Linked DNA regions of Lepisosteus oculatus. The protein of the gene in region 2 purifies or fractionates together with the protein of the main gene of each other region. This does not show direct contact. Links are inferred from orthologs where the notes say so. Each region holds a gene or a part of one and is shown on either strand. Other genes may lie near its edges.

The links. The genes of interacting proteins can lie anywhere in the genome.
Region 1: the proteins of ep300a (region 2) and cited1 purify together in Homo sapiens (affinity purification with western blotting; 3 studies listed by BioGRID and IntAct, with this or other methods). This does not show direct contact. The link is inferred for Lepisosteus oculatus from reciprocal best matches to the Homo sapiens genes EP300 and CITED1.

Annotation. Positions count from the first base shown.
Region 1 is NC_090703.1:40,622,525-40,630,531, reverse strand, and holds the start of cited1 (cbp/p300-interacting transactivator 1), read left to right. Parts: upstream 1-4,990; 5' UTR 4,991-5,239; intron 5,240-5,608; exon of another isoform or gene 5,609-6,196; intron 6,197-6,456; coding exon of another isoform or gene 6,457-6,504; intron 6,505-8,007. Other genes in the region: rps4x (small ribosomal subunit protein eS4), read left to right, coding at 6,457-6,504. UniProt on the Homo sapiens protein: Transcriptional coactivator of the p300/CBP-mediated transcription complex. Enhances SMAD-mediated transcription by strengthening the functional link between the DNA-binding SMAD transcription factors and the p300/CBP transcription coactivator complex.
Region 2 is NC_090707.1:38,059,139-38,066,433, forward strand, and holds the start of ep300a (histone acetyltransferase p300), read right to left. Parts: upstream 3,019-7,295; 5' UTR 1,645-3,018; intron 333-1,644; 5' UTR 1-332. Other genes in the region: xpnpep3 (xaa-Pro aminopeptidase 3), read right to left, coding at 5,207-5,373, 5,918-6,038, 7,241-7,295. UniProt on the Homo sapiens protein: Functions as a histone acetyltransferase and regulates transcription via chromatin remodeling. Acetylates all four core histones in nucleosomes. Histone acetylation gives an epigenetic tag for transcriptional activation.

The sequences.
Region 1 (8,007 bases), on a different chromosome or scaffold from region 2:
GAAGCCTTCCTTTAATCAAAATGCAGTTTTATTAAAACGTTTAATTCATATGGGGAGGCGTGCAAGTGTTTGTCTATTTCCAAACTGTTTAAAATGTTATAGTTTAAAACTGTTATACTGTAGTTCCTCTTTTATGTCAAGATGTGAAATATGTTTTTGATTTGTTCCTGCAAATTTGAAAACTGCATGTTGTCTTTCAGTGTAAATAGATTTCTTATAAAAACAGTAATGTAACTGTGTTGTGTTTTATTACATGTCTGTTGGAACTAAAATAATCTCATAACCTTCAGCCAGAGGGTTAAAAATGAATGCGGTCACCAAATAAGCTATGATAGTAATAAAAGTTCCAGATCTTCAGGTCAATTAGTGGAAATGCTTGCTACTAATCCCAGTATAGTTTTTCTTCATTTTTTACAGTTATATTCTGGATAAACTTCTCTTAAGGTTTTGTAAACCACTCAAGACGAATTGTGGAATAATGTATTTTTTCGAACGCCAGATTCAGCTGCTTTTGGTGGTCTTAAGATTTAACTGATAGTCTATGTGGTATATCAGTTGCTCTCCTCAATTACATTCGGATAAACAGAAATGATGACTAAGCTTTCCAGAATTCTTTCATGTGTACTTCCTTAATTCTGTCTTCTGAATTCATATGAACTCTTAAGACATTCCACAGAAGAAAAATGTTAGCTTGCTGTCTTAGCTTTTGTCCTATTCACTCCCAGGTACCCATCTTAAACTGTAATAATTGTTTGCATTAATATGGAGCTTCCGATATTTAAGGATCAAAAGTACTTTAATTGGAAATAGGACGAAATCCATTGCATAAAGCACTGAAGCACCACAGGACAGCAATCCTGGTGAAATGAGACGCTGCTTCACCAGCTGAATTAAGGAGTAACTTTAGTGAGGTCAGATTGTAAAAGACCAGAGTGGAACTATTATGAACAATACCCTGGCATCTTTAATGACAATCAGTCAGGATCTCAGTTTAACATCTCATCTGAAGAACCAGTGCAATGCGTAGTTCTAGGTTTCTATACTACCTGTGATCTCAGCTATTTAATTCCACTAATTACTATCTTTCACCATGCTTAAAAGCTTTGGATTTTATGAAACCCCTCAAACCGTGCTGACTTCTGAGCTTCAGAGTAAAGTTGTTTTATTTTTTATCAGTTTTCTTAGTTTGTCAGTTTTAGATGCATGATCACAGTCTAGTCCTGACAGTCTTTCACAGTGCCACAGCAGACTGTACCTACTGGGTTTATGGAAAAACTGAGACAATATGTTTAGGAATGTGACTTATAATAATAGCCCTTATTTGGAGAGAGAGATGTCCCTGGTGTTAGTGCATAGTAACCTCAGGCAGCATCTCGCAGGATTTGGCAGGATGAGCTCCATTTCCATTGCAGGACTTAATTCCGAAAGCATTAATTCATTTTTTAAAAACATTTGGCAGCATTATGCGATTAAAACTCTTGGAAGTAATGCAGTCCAGGGGGGGAATTAAGAAATAGAAAAGAGTTCATATACAGTAGAAATTAGGGAACAGGCCTAGTCACGCTGCACTGGTTTGAATGTTGGTGGTTGGAAGCTTGTTGGGAGACGTCCCACAGTTGACCACAGACTGGAAGCTGTGGCCTAAATGTTTGTTGACTTGGGAAAGCAGGTGCAGGTGGTCCTCCAGGCAGCTTTGTGACAAACACGGACAGCGTCCTCTGTTGTTCCTTCACTTGGAAAACGGCTTGTGTCTGTGCGAGTCTGGGGAGACAGGCCTTCTCCTCTCAGGGCCAGGGTCCCACCTGACGCCAGTTAATACCCAGCAAGCCGGCACAACACTGACGGGAGAAAAGGGAGCTCCTCTGCTCTATCCCTCTATCACAGGCTGTTTCTTGCAAAGAGTAGGGCTGTTACACCAGTGTCCTGGCCAGATTTCCCCCTGGCCTCAACCAATCATGGCCTCCTAATAATCCCCATCTATGAATTGCCTTCATTACTCTGTTCTCCACCCCCCTGATAGCTGGTGTCTGGTGAGCAGACTGGCACACGTTTGCTTCCATTACATCTTTCATAAGTGGTGCTGGAGGGGAGTCCCCATTACCTGTAAAAAGGAATTATTTTCTTTACAAGCAAGTCAGCAGGCCTTTCCATCCCACTCAGGCCGATAAACCATCAACAGACTGGATCCTCCAGTCAAGCCTCAGGTTCTGCCTACTGTATATATACAATGGCCAAAGATACTGCAAGTGAGACCCACCTGATCTCATCAGAGAGCAGCCTCTGGAACAGCTTCCTTGAAAGCTTTTATGCAAAATCCAGTTCTTTTGTTTTAATGCTAAAGCCAGGGGCATGGAGAATCAGCCCAACCTGTGTGTGGCAGCCCTCGCACAAACTCCATATCCAATCATTAATCTGACAGCTACAGTATATATATGGCCAGCAGCCATATCACCCTGCAACTCACAAGTGGCAACCCACTGAAGCTAAGCAGGTGTTAGCCTGGTCAGTACCTGGATGAGAGACCTCCTGGGAAAAACTAAGGTTGCTGCTGGAAGTGTTAGTGGGGCCAGCTCACCCTGCAGTCCATGTGGGACCTAATGCCGTCCTTCGGATGAGATGTCCTGACTCTCTGTGGTCATTAAAAATCCCAGGGCTCTTCTCGAAAAGAGTAGGGGTGTAACCCCAGTGTCCTGGCCAAATTTCCAATTGGCCCTTACCAATCATGGCCTCCTAATAATCCCCCTCTATGAATTGGCTACATTACTCTGCTCTCCTCCCCACTGATAGCTGATGTGGGGTGAGTGTTCTGGTGCACTATGGCTGCTGTCTCATCATCCAGGTAAATCATCCACATTGGTTGTGGTGGAGGGGAGTCCCCATTACCTGTAAAGTGCTTTGAGTGGAGTGTCCAGAAAAGCGCTATATAATTGTAAGCAATTATTATTATTATTATTATTATTATTATTATTATTATTATTATAGGAGAGCTTTGAAGAAACGTTTTTTTCTTTAGTTTTGTAGATAAGATTTCTTGCAAAAATGTTAGTCTCAGAAAGAGATTGGCGTATTTTTATTGAAAACATGTTGGTGTCTAATTTATTTTAACCGAAAATCGTGTTTTCAATACTGTGTTTATATTTCCGTTTTTTAATGCATTATTAATTATTCTGTTATTTGCTCTGTAGCTCGTCTCATTGTCACACGTCTTCCGGCGGTTAATGTGTTAGCAGAAGGAATACAGAAATAACTTCTGGAACAAAGTAATTATTGATGACTCTTCAGGTTAGAGTCTGGAAAACCGAAAACGGTTTCCTCGATTTGCATATGTTTTCCCATAAGGGAAAGACATCCCTGAGCTGAGCTTCTCCGTCTTTTCTATCGAGCGTTAATTGTCAAATCTGTTTGTACACTGAATGGCTGTTGAGTCTTTCGCACAATACGCCAGCTGTGCTTTTTTTTGACAGTTAAACTGACAAAAAGCTGAAAGCATCGGAGTGAAATCCGAGTTCGCTGTATAATTCCGTGAGGAATGAGTATTCTTGTAATTAATGAGTTAAACTGAGTCAAGGTTAATCAAAAAATGTGAAAATATCGCAGGGGTCGTGTCGTGTCGTTAATGTCATCCACGTTTTGTATGAAACGCTCAATGATGAATAATGCACCTTTGCAAAACGTATCTGTAAAGCGTTTTATTCAAATACTAATACAGAATGAAAACTACAGGAGCTTTGAATTTTCTCATAACGTTTTAGAGTTTTTCTTTGTAGAAGTACCTTTTCAAAATGTTTGTACTGTAATTGAAATGTTAGTCGTCACAACAGCGATTCCTAAAATGTATGGATAGCATTATTTTGGTACTGTAAAAATAACCGCATACGAGTTTACTCTTCAACCCCATACCTAACAAAAAATATAAAAAACAATACAAAAATACTGTGCTTATATGCGCTTCTCTCAGTGCTTTCTTAAATTATTACATGTATTTAGAAATGAAGTTTAATTAATGCGGAACAAAATGATTTCATTGTTTTTTTTCTGTTTGGTAAAATGCCGGAGCGACTTATTATTATTATTATTATTATTATTATTATTATTATTATTATTATTATTATTAGCTGTTATCGGGTTCAGTGGACACCTGAACTGATCAATTTTGTTTTTTATGTGGTGAGACGTCGAACGACCTGTGTCACGGCTCTGTGTTTTAGTCAATAACCGAGGTAAAGTGTTACTGAACTGCTGATTATCCAGACCTTTTGTAAATAGCGAACATCTGCACACTTTCACAGTATGGTTGACTACAAAACCCGGCTAGTCCTTCTTCTGTCGCGCGATGAGTTTAAATCAATTTCCAACCCACCCACGAAGTGGGACATTGACACGGGGTTCTTGGTAAATGTTCAAACCGTTGTGAGCATAAATAGTTTGCACACAAAGAATTAGCCTTGCAAGACGAGCTGTTGTGATATTTTAGGAAGTTTGTGTGGTTTTTATTATTTTTAGAACAAGACATTGTCTGGTGGGGACGGGAATGTGCCACAGGTTTGCTGAATTAAACAGCGGAAGAAAAAAGCAACAGAAAATTCAGATTGAACCAGGGACTGATTTAATAAGCAAGCCTTGTAACAATAAATGACCTCTTTCGAGTTGCTAGGAAAATTACTTCAAGCGGTGGATTAACCAGTTCAGGCATCTTTTCAGAGCTTTTCAAATTGGTTGGCCTCTAGTTTTAGTATTAAAAAAAAACGTTTCAAAGCGCACAAATAAACATTTAAACCATCAATGGAGACGTTTGCAACAGGCACGCCAAGGCCGGTTTCGTTTTGAGGTGAATATTTAATTTTAGCGGACTTTGGAGTTTGAAATAAAGGATGCGTCGGTCCCAGCCGGCTCCAGTCCGGGTGTTACTGTTATCTTGGGAAGCGCGGTGGAGCGGTGTATATAGAGTGGGGTTTGAGGTTCACTAATCATTCATTGCTAGAATGGGTGCTCAGGGTCTGGTCCTCTTGGGTACATATTTGGGATACTGGTCTCCATGAATTAATTTCGACGAATAGTAGCCTCTGTGATTATTTGCAGAAGTTGCAAATTCTTCTTTTCATCAAGGAAGAAGATTTTTCTTTTTAATTAGCCTAAATCCCCTTCTGTAATGATTTAATACCTTTTTTTTCTCGTACTTGTGGATATAGTTTCATTTCACATTCCTGGATCTCCACAGTTCTGAAAGTCACTTTCGAAGGTAAAAAAGCAAAACGCTGTTGTTGGTTTTTTTGTTGCTAATAAATTATTGAGGGGTGATACGGTGCAGTTATCAATATTTCCGCTAAGCAAGTACGTGTTATATTTAATGAGAGACTTATTTCTGTGTAGCTTAGTAAGACATCGCCTCATTGCTTATAACATTGTGCTTAAACAAGTTTGTGAATGTACGCATAGCCTATCTGAAAGTCACTCGTGAGCGGGGAAAAATCCAACTTTTTGATTGTTCAAACCCTTTTCAGTGTTTTTAAAGAATTAACACAAAATATCGATTTATTATAGTTGCAATTCGGAAATCGGGAAGATCTGAAATCTGTAAAAATCTACGTGGTCGTCTACTGTTTATACACAGCTGTATAATTGCAAGTATATTTTACCTAAATTCCTGGTCTGTGAATTTCAAGTTTCACACGTTTGCTTTAGAATTGGTTAGGAAAAACTGGAAACTGCTAACAACCAGTCCGGATTTGGAATTCAAAGCGTTTTTTAATATCCTATTGCAATAAACTAGGAAACCCTTATTTTGTGAGTTAACCCGCCAGTAGGCTGTTTTCCCTTTATTTAGTTTAGTTTCCAACAATTTCACTTGACTTTGAGGCGGGGTGGCGCGTCAAAGCGTAAACGCAATCTGCTGGGCTCAGAATGCGCCCTCATTTGAAAAGGCAGGGCTATCGAAATACCCAGACGAACTTGTAAAAATGTATTATACGTTGCCATTTGTTTTGGTTGCAGTTTGCGTTAATTGGTATTAATCGTCGTTCCGGGTTGTCAATTAACCTAAAACGCAAACGTCGCTCAGCTGTCACAGCCAATTCGCGCAGGACCGGGCGAGGAGACTGTTTTTACCAGAGCCACACGAAGAGCAAAACACACACTCGCAGGCGAAGGTTCGTTTAGTAACTTGGGGAGCACTTCCAGATGTTCAGTTGTCCAAATTGTAAGTCCCTTTTCTTTAATTAAACATTTCACTGGGAAATTATCGAGAACTGTTGCCCTTTGTGACCACGGCAATTTACTTATTCCATTTCAACTGGATACCCGAGGGGGCAAGAGCTGTGAAAATCCGATTACTCCTCCAGAGATGGAGCTACAGAATGAGTAAAGAGCCTCTGCAGTGTACTGCCGTCCGATATCTAGCATCGCTCATTAAGTTAATAGGGGTTTATGCAGCTTGTAGCTTCATAGTTGTAAGGTCCCATGAGTGCCCACGTAATGAAACCCGTTTATGTAAGTTCCCCCGCCATGCTAGAATACTGGCGCTCTGCCTGGAAGTGTAGGCACCTGTAGATACTGTACTGCTTCATCTAGCTGACAGGTTGCATGGCACACTAGTGGGGGGAGGGGAATGACTGTACTGGGGTCTCCCCGTGGAAACCACAAGCCCTTCACAGATGGAAGTGTGAGCTGTTAGGACTAATTCATGAGATGCTCACTGAAAGATCAGTCCAACCCTGATCCTGAGAGCATTCCATTGGGGGGCTTCATTCCTGTAGTCCCATTGCATTAAAGTTCTAAGTAACTGCACAAACAGCACAGTTATATATATATATGTAGTGTGTGTGTAATGTATGTGTTTCCTGCTGGCTAGAAGCACTTTTTGTGTCAAGCCCCTTGTAAGAACTGTAGAATTCCAACAGGGCTGCCCTCACAAGTGTGTGTGTGTCTGAAGTATACATCAGAGGTACAGATGCGGAGCTCCTAGCTTCTGTGCAGGTCTGTTCCAGCCAGCTCTGTGAATGCGTTACTGAATTCATTCCCAATCTGCTAAGCAAGCACTGAAGGGACTAGAACGGTCCTTTCAGGAGTCTGCAATAGTCATTTTCTCTAGGGTCTGAGAGACATTGGTGGTGGTGGAGGGGAGTCCCCATTACCTGTAAAGCGCTTTGAGTGGAGTGTCCAGAAAAGCGCTATATAAGTGTAAGCAATTATTATTATTATTATTATTATTATTATTATTATTATTATTATTATTACATGTAAATTGGATGATTCAAAGGTGTTCCACTAATTAACATGATTGTATAGTTGATTTACAATAAAAAAGAATTTGGCCTTTGCAGAGTTCTTGGGGGGGGGGGGACTGGAGACTGGCTTCCACAGATACAAAGCCTTAACTGTTCTTCAGATGTCCTTTGGAAGTGCCCTGATGGTTGTGTGTTTGTTAAATGGCTGTCAAGGGGTTCCAGCACCAGGACAGCTCTGCCGGCTGTATCACCCTTGCCCAGTGCCCTGCACACAGCACACAGGAGCCCCTGGATGCGAGGGAGAGAACTGTGGGGCCTGACCGTGCCGCCTCTCTCTGAATAAGGTTTACAGCTGTGTCCCAGCCTTTAGCAATTACCCTGACCCCAGATGGGGAGCTGGGCTTGTGGAGGCGGGGAGGAGTTGCTGGCTTAATTAAGTGATTACATTTCTCAAAGGCATGCCTCATGGCAGTGATGGCTAGCGTGATGTTCAGAGGAAAGGTTCCCCTCTGGAGAGGGTAAGATAACCCTGCCTTTAATTTTGGTCACTTGAGTACTTTCTTCTTGTAGTGGGACTGGGGACCACACAGAGCTATCTGGGCATTGCTCGTGATCGCTCTGCATTTAAATCCAGCTAGTGCCCCTGTGTGATCCTGCCATGAAAAGATGAAAAGCTGTAGGCTGATGACTTTCTTTTTTTCTTTTAGAGTGGCCAAGAAGTGGTAATATATGTCCTTCATAGGCACAAGAACTGTAGCAGGTGCTGTTTTTTTTTTAGTGGGAT
Region 2 (7,295 bases):
CCTCGTCGTCTCTTTTTCGGATTTGGCGTTCAAAACTTCCCCTCCCCTCCTCCTCCGGGCGTTTTTTGGGTTGTGTTGTGGTGTTGCTCCTTCACAGATTTCGGCTCCTAGCTGCTGCAGCAGTAGTAGTTGTAGTAGTAGTGACGGGAGGAGGAGGAGGGGAGGAGGAAGAGAAAGTCTCCGAGTCGCTGGGAGAGAGAAAGGCCCTCCGGATTAACTCATGTAGCTTCCTCGGCGCAGATCAAGATGTCCCGGGCAGGGTCCTCCAGGGCTCCGTCTGCGTTTTCTACCATCTCCGGAGGCCAAGGCGAGAGATAATCTGAATTATTTCCCTTTTTGTTGTTGTTGGTGGTGGTGGGTAGGTGGGTTTGGGGAGGGTGGAAAAAAATTAAATGAAGAAGGAGGGGAGAGAGAAAGAGAGAGACGAGGTTAAAAAAAAGTCGCACCCGAACGAGGGCCAGGAGGTAATTATTCTTCACAATACAAAACCCCCGACGCCATCCCCACCCCCCCGTCCTGGAAAGGTAATACTTGTGTTGGGTTTTTTAAAAAAAAATATATATATTTTCTTTCTTCGTAAAAGGGCGCACGCCGGGTTCGGGCTCGGTTCGGGACGGGCTGGCCCTACGGGCGCCCAGGTCGGTCACACCCCACCTCCCTCCCCTCGGACCCGCCTGTACCCCCCAACTCTCTCTAACACCCCCCTCACCTCACACGAACAGCTGAGACCGGCTCAGAGAAACGGGAGCAACTTCCGATCAATGCGCATGATCACACGCACATCTGCCGGCGGGTGTTAGAAATTGATTAAAAAAAATTAAATAAAGTCGATTTCTGTGAGGGTACGACAAACCGGGCGAACGACTTAATCGTCTCCCCGGCGTGTCGTATCGGCGCGAGTGGGATGCGATACCTTCCGAGGCGCCTCCCGATATCTGTGATCGATATGAAAAAGTTGTTGTTTTTTCGTGGAGCCGCGCTTCACGCCGTGTTTTTTTTCAAAGCGGGAATGAGGGCTTCTTTTAAAAATGTTTGGGAGACCTGGCCGGTGAGGATGATCGCCTCTATCGATTGCCAAACTCAATCAAAGCGCTTGATTGAGCTGCAAGGGCTGAAACTTTGGGTGGTGGTGGTGGTGGTGGGGGGTCAACTTTGGCAATGTTTTTTATTTTTTTAAAGTAAAAAAAAAAACCCGTTTGTATTTCTTGCAGCTTTTTTTTGGGGGGGATCGATCTGCAACGGAAGTTCACAACACCGGGCCGCTACGCTAGCACATGACCAGAGAGGAAAGGTTTGGCATGCCCGGTTTCAAAAACTGCAACTTGGTCAGGGCGCCCCTCTCTTTTATTAATTACCACAACAACAACAACAACAAAAAAAACCCACTTATTACAAAAAAAATAAGTGTTTGGTTTCACTCTAGTGATGTCAGCGGCGGGCTAATGTGACTTTGTTTCTCGCATTGTGACGGTCAGCAGTCTTTCAGGGGTGGAAAAAAAAACTAGTTGTCACAGTATCGATCACTTCGCGATCTTGCGCCCTCTCTCTGTGTAATATGTTGGAATTAAAAAACAAAAAACAAAACGGGGTTCAGATATGATTATTATGATGATTATTATTAGGTTTTTTTGAATGCCACCTTACAAGAAAGCGCAGGTTGACGCCGGGGAGAGTCTTGGTTATGACGGACGCAGATGCACAGGTATCCCTTGTTATCTCACGGCGTCTGGGCCACGCCAGGGCTCAAAACGGATTTTCAATCCACTGTTCTTCCTTGGTTCCCAACACAACTGTGGAAGAAGGAGCCGCCGTGCCGCTCCTGCCGGTGCGGGGTGGCCACGCTTGTCCCGGAGCCCAAAAACACGCACAAACTGCGCGCAGGACGGCCGCCACCGGATTCAACCCGCCCGGCAGACACCGGCACCGGGGTGGGGGGTCTCCGGCCGCACAGGAGGAGGAGGAGGAGGAGGAGGGAGGGATGGCCGGCGTGGTGCAAACGGGACAGGTCGCCTCTCGTCGGTCCTCTCCAACGGCGCGATGTGCTGGGTCCCGGCGATGGCGAGGAGTCGGTGCCCCCCCCCGGCGTGCTGGAGTCCGGACCGGGCGGATGGGAGATGGGGGTGTCGCTGCTATGATTCAGGGGGTGAACTGAGCGAGCGGCGGGGCTGGGGGCATTTAAAGAAACCCGGGAGTCTCCCCTCCACGCCAGCAGAAAGGAAAGCGCACGTCCCCCCCCCGGAGTCTTTTGTGTGGTGACCCTCAAACCCCCGTCTCTCGCCGCCTGCCTGCGGGGTCGATTATATCCGTCTGCTCCCCCCCTTTTTTCTTAAAAAAAAAAAGCAATCCTTCGTCTTCTCTCCGCTCTCTAACGGTTGGGGTTCCCGTTTCGCCGATATTTCCTCGTCTCCTCTCTCTCTCTCTCCCTCCGTGTGTACGTCTGCTCGTATGTCTCCCCCCGCTCGCTCGGTGGAGGAGGAGGAGGAGGAGGATGAATATTATTTTTAATAATAATTCTTCGTCTCCGGACGCGATGCGCTTGTATTTCTCCACCACCGCCGCCGCCACCAACCCCCCCCCCCACTTCCAAAAGAATTTTTTTTTCCCTCCCGTCGCCTTTTCAGCGTCCCTCCGTTTCTAAAACGCAGAAAATGCTCCCCAGCTTCCGCTTGTCCTCCGCTCCGCGTGAAAAGAGAAAAAAAAATCCCCCCTTCTTTCCTTCCTTGGACGTCTTAAAAGCGGATTTTCTCTCCCTTCTTCTTTTTTTCTCTCTCCTCTCTCTCTCTCTCGCTCCTCTTCCTTGTCCTCGTCCCCGACTCTCCGTTTCCGCGCTGTGCCCCCCGTCTCTCGCCGTCTTCTCCGGGTCCACGCTGCCGCTGTGTCGGCTCCGGGCTGGTCGGGCGGCCGCTCTCCGGGTCGCTGTGCTCGGCGCTGTGGTCGCTCCCTCTCTCGGGTCTCTCCAGCCGCGCTCGGTCTCTCCGCGCAAACAAAATGGCGGCTTGTTGTTTCTACTCCTCCGACACGGGAGCGGAGGGGGGGGGAGGGTAAGCTAGAGAGCAGAGCGGCGATGTATTCGAAAAAGAGGAGGAGGAGGCGGGGGGGTTGTGTTCGGGAATTTCCGGAAACCCCCCGGACTCGCTCTTTTCCGGAACGGCGCTAGCGGGTGACCGACGCCAGGGGGCGCTCGAAGATCACCGTCATCATCATAATTGCTTACACTTATGCAGCGCTTTTCTGGACACTCCACTCACGCTGTACGCTGTACAGGTCGTGGGGGATCCCCTCCACCACCACCACCCTCCATCCCCCACCTGGATGATGCTCCAGTCCGCTCCCCACACACCAGCTCCCAGTGGGGAGGAGAGCAGAGTGATGGAGCCAGTTCAAGAGAGGGGAGTTATTAGGAGGCCATGATGGGTAAAGGCCAGGGGGAGATTTGGCCAGGACACCGGGGTTACACCCCTAATCTTGTCGAGAAACAATGTGGGATTTCTAACGACCACAGAGAGTCAGGACCTCGGTTTTACGTCTCATCCTAAGGTCTCCCCTCCAGGTACTGGCCAGGCTCACGCCAGCTGGGAGCTCTGTCTGCTTATTCTCCCAAAATAATAACCCCCTCCCCAACACCAGTTACCCCCTCCTGCAGCCTTCCTTGGGTCCAAACTCTGGGGAGATCTGCACCTCACTGTCTCACCATCCCACCTGCAGTTGGTACAGGCGCGATGCACTTAGAAAAAGTTCATTTGAGGAGGGGACACATCGCTCAGCAGTGGACAGACGAGTGTGGGACCGACAGCTGTTGAACACTCAGTTCAACTGCTGCTGTGAAGGCAGGGAGCATGACAGAATCACTCCATGTCTCTGTGTGTGAGTGTTCAGGGTTCAGTAAAGTCCCTGTAATGTACTGGTGCGGTACCTGGAGAATCTGGGGAGACAGGAACTATAAAAAGAGGGGGGGGTAGGGGGTTCTATCAGGGGAGAAGGGAGGGGACCCACATAGCCCCGCCTGGGCAGGGTTGAGGGGGCGTCAGTCCGGTGAGCCAAGCCCAGTGGACAAGGTCAGCTGTCCTGTGAGAGAATGATTCCTCACACTTCTACAGCACCCTTCTGGACACCCCACTCACAGCGCTGGACAGGTCATGGGGATCCCCTCCACCACCACCAATGTGCAGCCCCACCTGGATGATGCTCCAGTCTGCTCCCCACACACCAGCTCCCAGTGGGGAGGAGAGCAGAGTGATGGAGCCAGTTCAGAGAGGGGGGGTTATTAGGAGGCCATGACTGGTAAAGGCCAGGGGGAGATTTGGCCAGGACACTGGGGTGACACCCCTACTCTTTTCCAATACACCCCGGGATTTTTAATGATCGGAGTCAGCACCTTGATTTTACACATCCCCCGAAGAACAGTGCCTTTTTACAGTACGGTATCTCTGTATTAGCTGGGTATTGGAACCCAATATCAAGGTCTTTGAAAGATCGTTTCTAAACACAGACACAGCCCTCGCAGCCCGCACCCCAGAACGCAGAGCTCCGAGCATCCCACACTTTATTATTCAGGGACAGGCACACAGACCCGGAGACAGGGAGACCAGGAGAAGCCGGATCACAAGAGTCCCGGCCTCTCGGACCGGCGCAGCCGAACCGGTAACACAGAGCGGTGAGCCTCAGTCCTCACGGGTCCCCCCCCGGGATCCGAGGAACACCCTGACGTCAGAACCCCTGGGATTCGAACCCACCACCTCCCGGGTACCAGCCCGGAGCCCCGCCTGGACCGGCGCCGCAGAACTCCCGGCTCGGCTGCCCTCTGCCCTCCCTCCCCGCCCAGGAGCGGGGCGCGGAACAGCCCCTCGGGCAGCGCGTGAGCGAGGGTCCCGCGGGGGGGGCGCCGTCGAAGCTTTCGCGAAAGAACCGTTTCGCTTCGGTTCGGGCCCCGAAGAAACCTGCACCCCCTCTTTCCAACCGGGTCCCCCACCCCCCCGGGCCCGTGTAATCAACGGGGTGGGGCTGCCGGGTCCTGAGGCGGTCAGCGCCACTGACCCGATCGTCTCTGAAACGGAAGATCCGTGCGGCGCCGTGTCCACCGTCCACGACTTGACCCAGGGGAGCATACCGCGCGGGGCCGAAGCGGGGCGCGTTTAAAAAGTCTGTGTTCCTCTACCAGCTGCTCTCCTTCACCCCATCCACCCCCCCCCTGCCCCGTTAGTCCCGGTCACTGTCGGCAGGCCCTCTCGATCTCCTCCATGGTTTTGGGGGTGTTGGCGGACAGGACCAGGGGACCCTCCTCCTCCTCCCTGATGAGCACGTCATCCTCGATCCTCACGCCCATCCCTCGGAATCGCTCCGGACAGCTGCTGTCATCCTCTGGGATGTACAGACCTGGGGGAGACAGAAAGGAGACTGAGACTGAGAGAGAGAGAGGGGTTCATACAGACACACTGACTGGACACTCCAGTACATGAACACTGCACTGAGAGAGAGAGGGGTTCATACAGACACACTGACTGGACACTCCAGTACATGAACACTGCACTGAGAGAGAGAGGGGTTCATACAGACACACTGACTGGACACTCCAGTACATGAACACTGCACTGAGAGAGAGAGGGGGGTTCATACAGACACACTGACTGGACACTCCAGTACATGAACACTGCACTGAGAGAGAGAGAGAGGGGTTCATACAGACACACTGACTGGACACTCCAGTACATGAACACTGCACTGAGAGAGAGAGGGGTTCATACAGACACACTGACTGGACACTCCAGTACATGAACACTGCACTGAGAGAGAGAGGGGTTCATACAGACACACTGACTGGACACTCCAGTACATGAACACTGCACTGAGAGAGAGAGGGGTTCACACAGACACACTGACTGGACACTCCAGCACATTAACACTGCACTGAGTCTCGTACCCAGTTCGATGGTGATGGCCATGCCAGGGCGGAGCGGTTGTGCCCGGGACAGGTCAGGCGTGTCGTGGACGTCCATGCCCAGGTAGTGCCCCACGTGGTGAGGGCAGTAGCGCCTGGCTGCCTGCAGGGGGCAGAAGAGAGAGAGAGCACGCCGCCGTGTCAGAGAGGCAGTGGGACACGGGCCGTCTCCCCCAGCGGAGGAGAGGACTACAAACCCGCTGTCCCGAGCTGGGCGCTGGCACAGAAACAGCTGCCCGCAACACACCTCCTCCGAGCAGCAAAACAGAAACTCGACACATCGGTAGCTGCCACAGTGAACATCCGAACATCAGGGGAGCAGAAATAAGACACAGCAGTAAGTGTTGTCCAGGGGCCTGCGTCTGGCTGCCTGTCCAGCTGGCATAGGGGCCAGACTGGCTGCCCAGACTCCCCTGGTTTGCTAGCCGTCTTGTGCATCGCGCTAAAAAGCTGACAAAGTAAATAATCATCTCTAGACACAAGGACGCTGTACGTGGTGTTGAAGACCAGATTAAACAAAAAGCACGATTAAAAGTAAACGGGGAAAAAAAAACGACACCGGAACACGCAGGGCAAGCCGACGAGGGCCCTGCTAGAAAGGGGAGTTTCGAGTGGAGATCTGAAGAGAGGCAGAGACTGTCTCTCGTGGGGTCGGGGGGGAGGGCTGTCCGTCCCGCTGGAGCAGCGACTGACCGGGCTCGGCCACCGCTAGGCCTGGGCGCAGCGAGGAGAGGGCCAGCCTCCGCTGCCCGGAGCCTACAGGAGCAGTTCAGACAAGCGACTCAGAGCCCCAGGGGTCAGGGACAGGACCTTGTCGCGCCTGCCGGGCTTTGACGACCCCAGTGCGGGGGGCGGGGGGAGGCGCTGGCCAGGCCTGGAGTGAGGAAGAAGTGGAGGTGCAGCTGACAGAGGAGGGTGCTGGGGAGCCCACACAGGGGAGAGCTGTGGAAATCGGCCTCATGTTCCAGTATAAATGCACCAATCAGGCACTGGGCATCGGACACGGAGAGAAACTGCCTGATGCCGGCAATATCTCTATAGGGTCCGAAAAAGACTTCTCAATCAAAGTCTTCTCAGGGCTCAAGAGACAGGGGGGGATCGAGTGAGACTCCCGACGACGGATGGGGGAGCAGTCAATATGCCACGGTCCAGCGGGGGGCGCTGTAGTCACCCGCTGTGTGTTACGGCGACGGTGCACTCTGACGCAGTGTCCAGAAAGGAGCCGACGCTTAACCGCGCAAGCGTGTCGGCGTGACAATCCCCACTGAAGTACCGCGGCCGGCCAGCGGGGGGCGCTGTAGTTACCCGGTGCGTGTCGGCGTCGCCGGCCCTGGAGCTGACGATACCCAGGTCCTTCAGC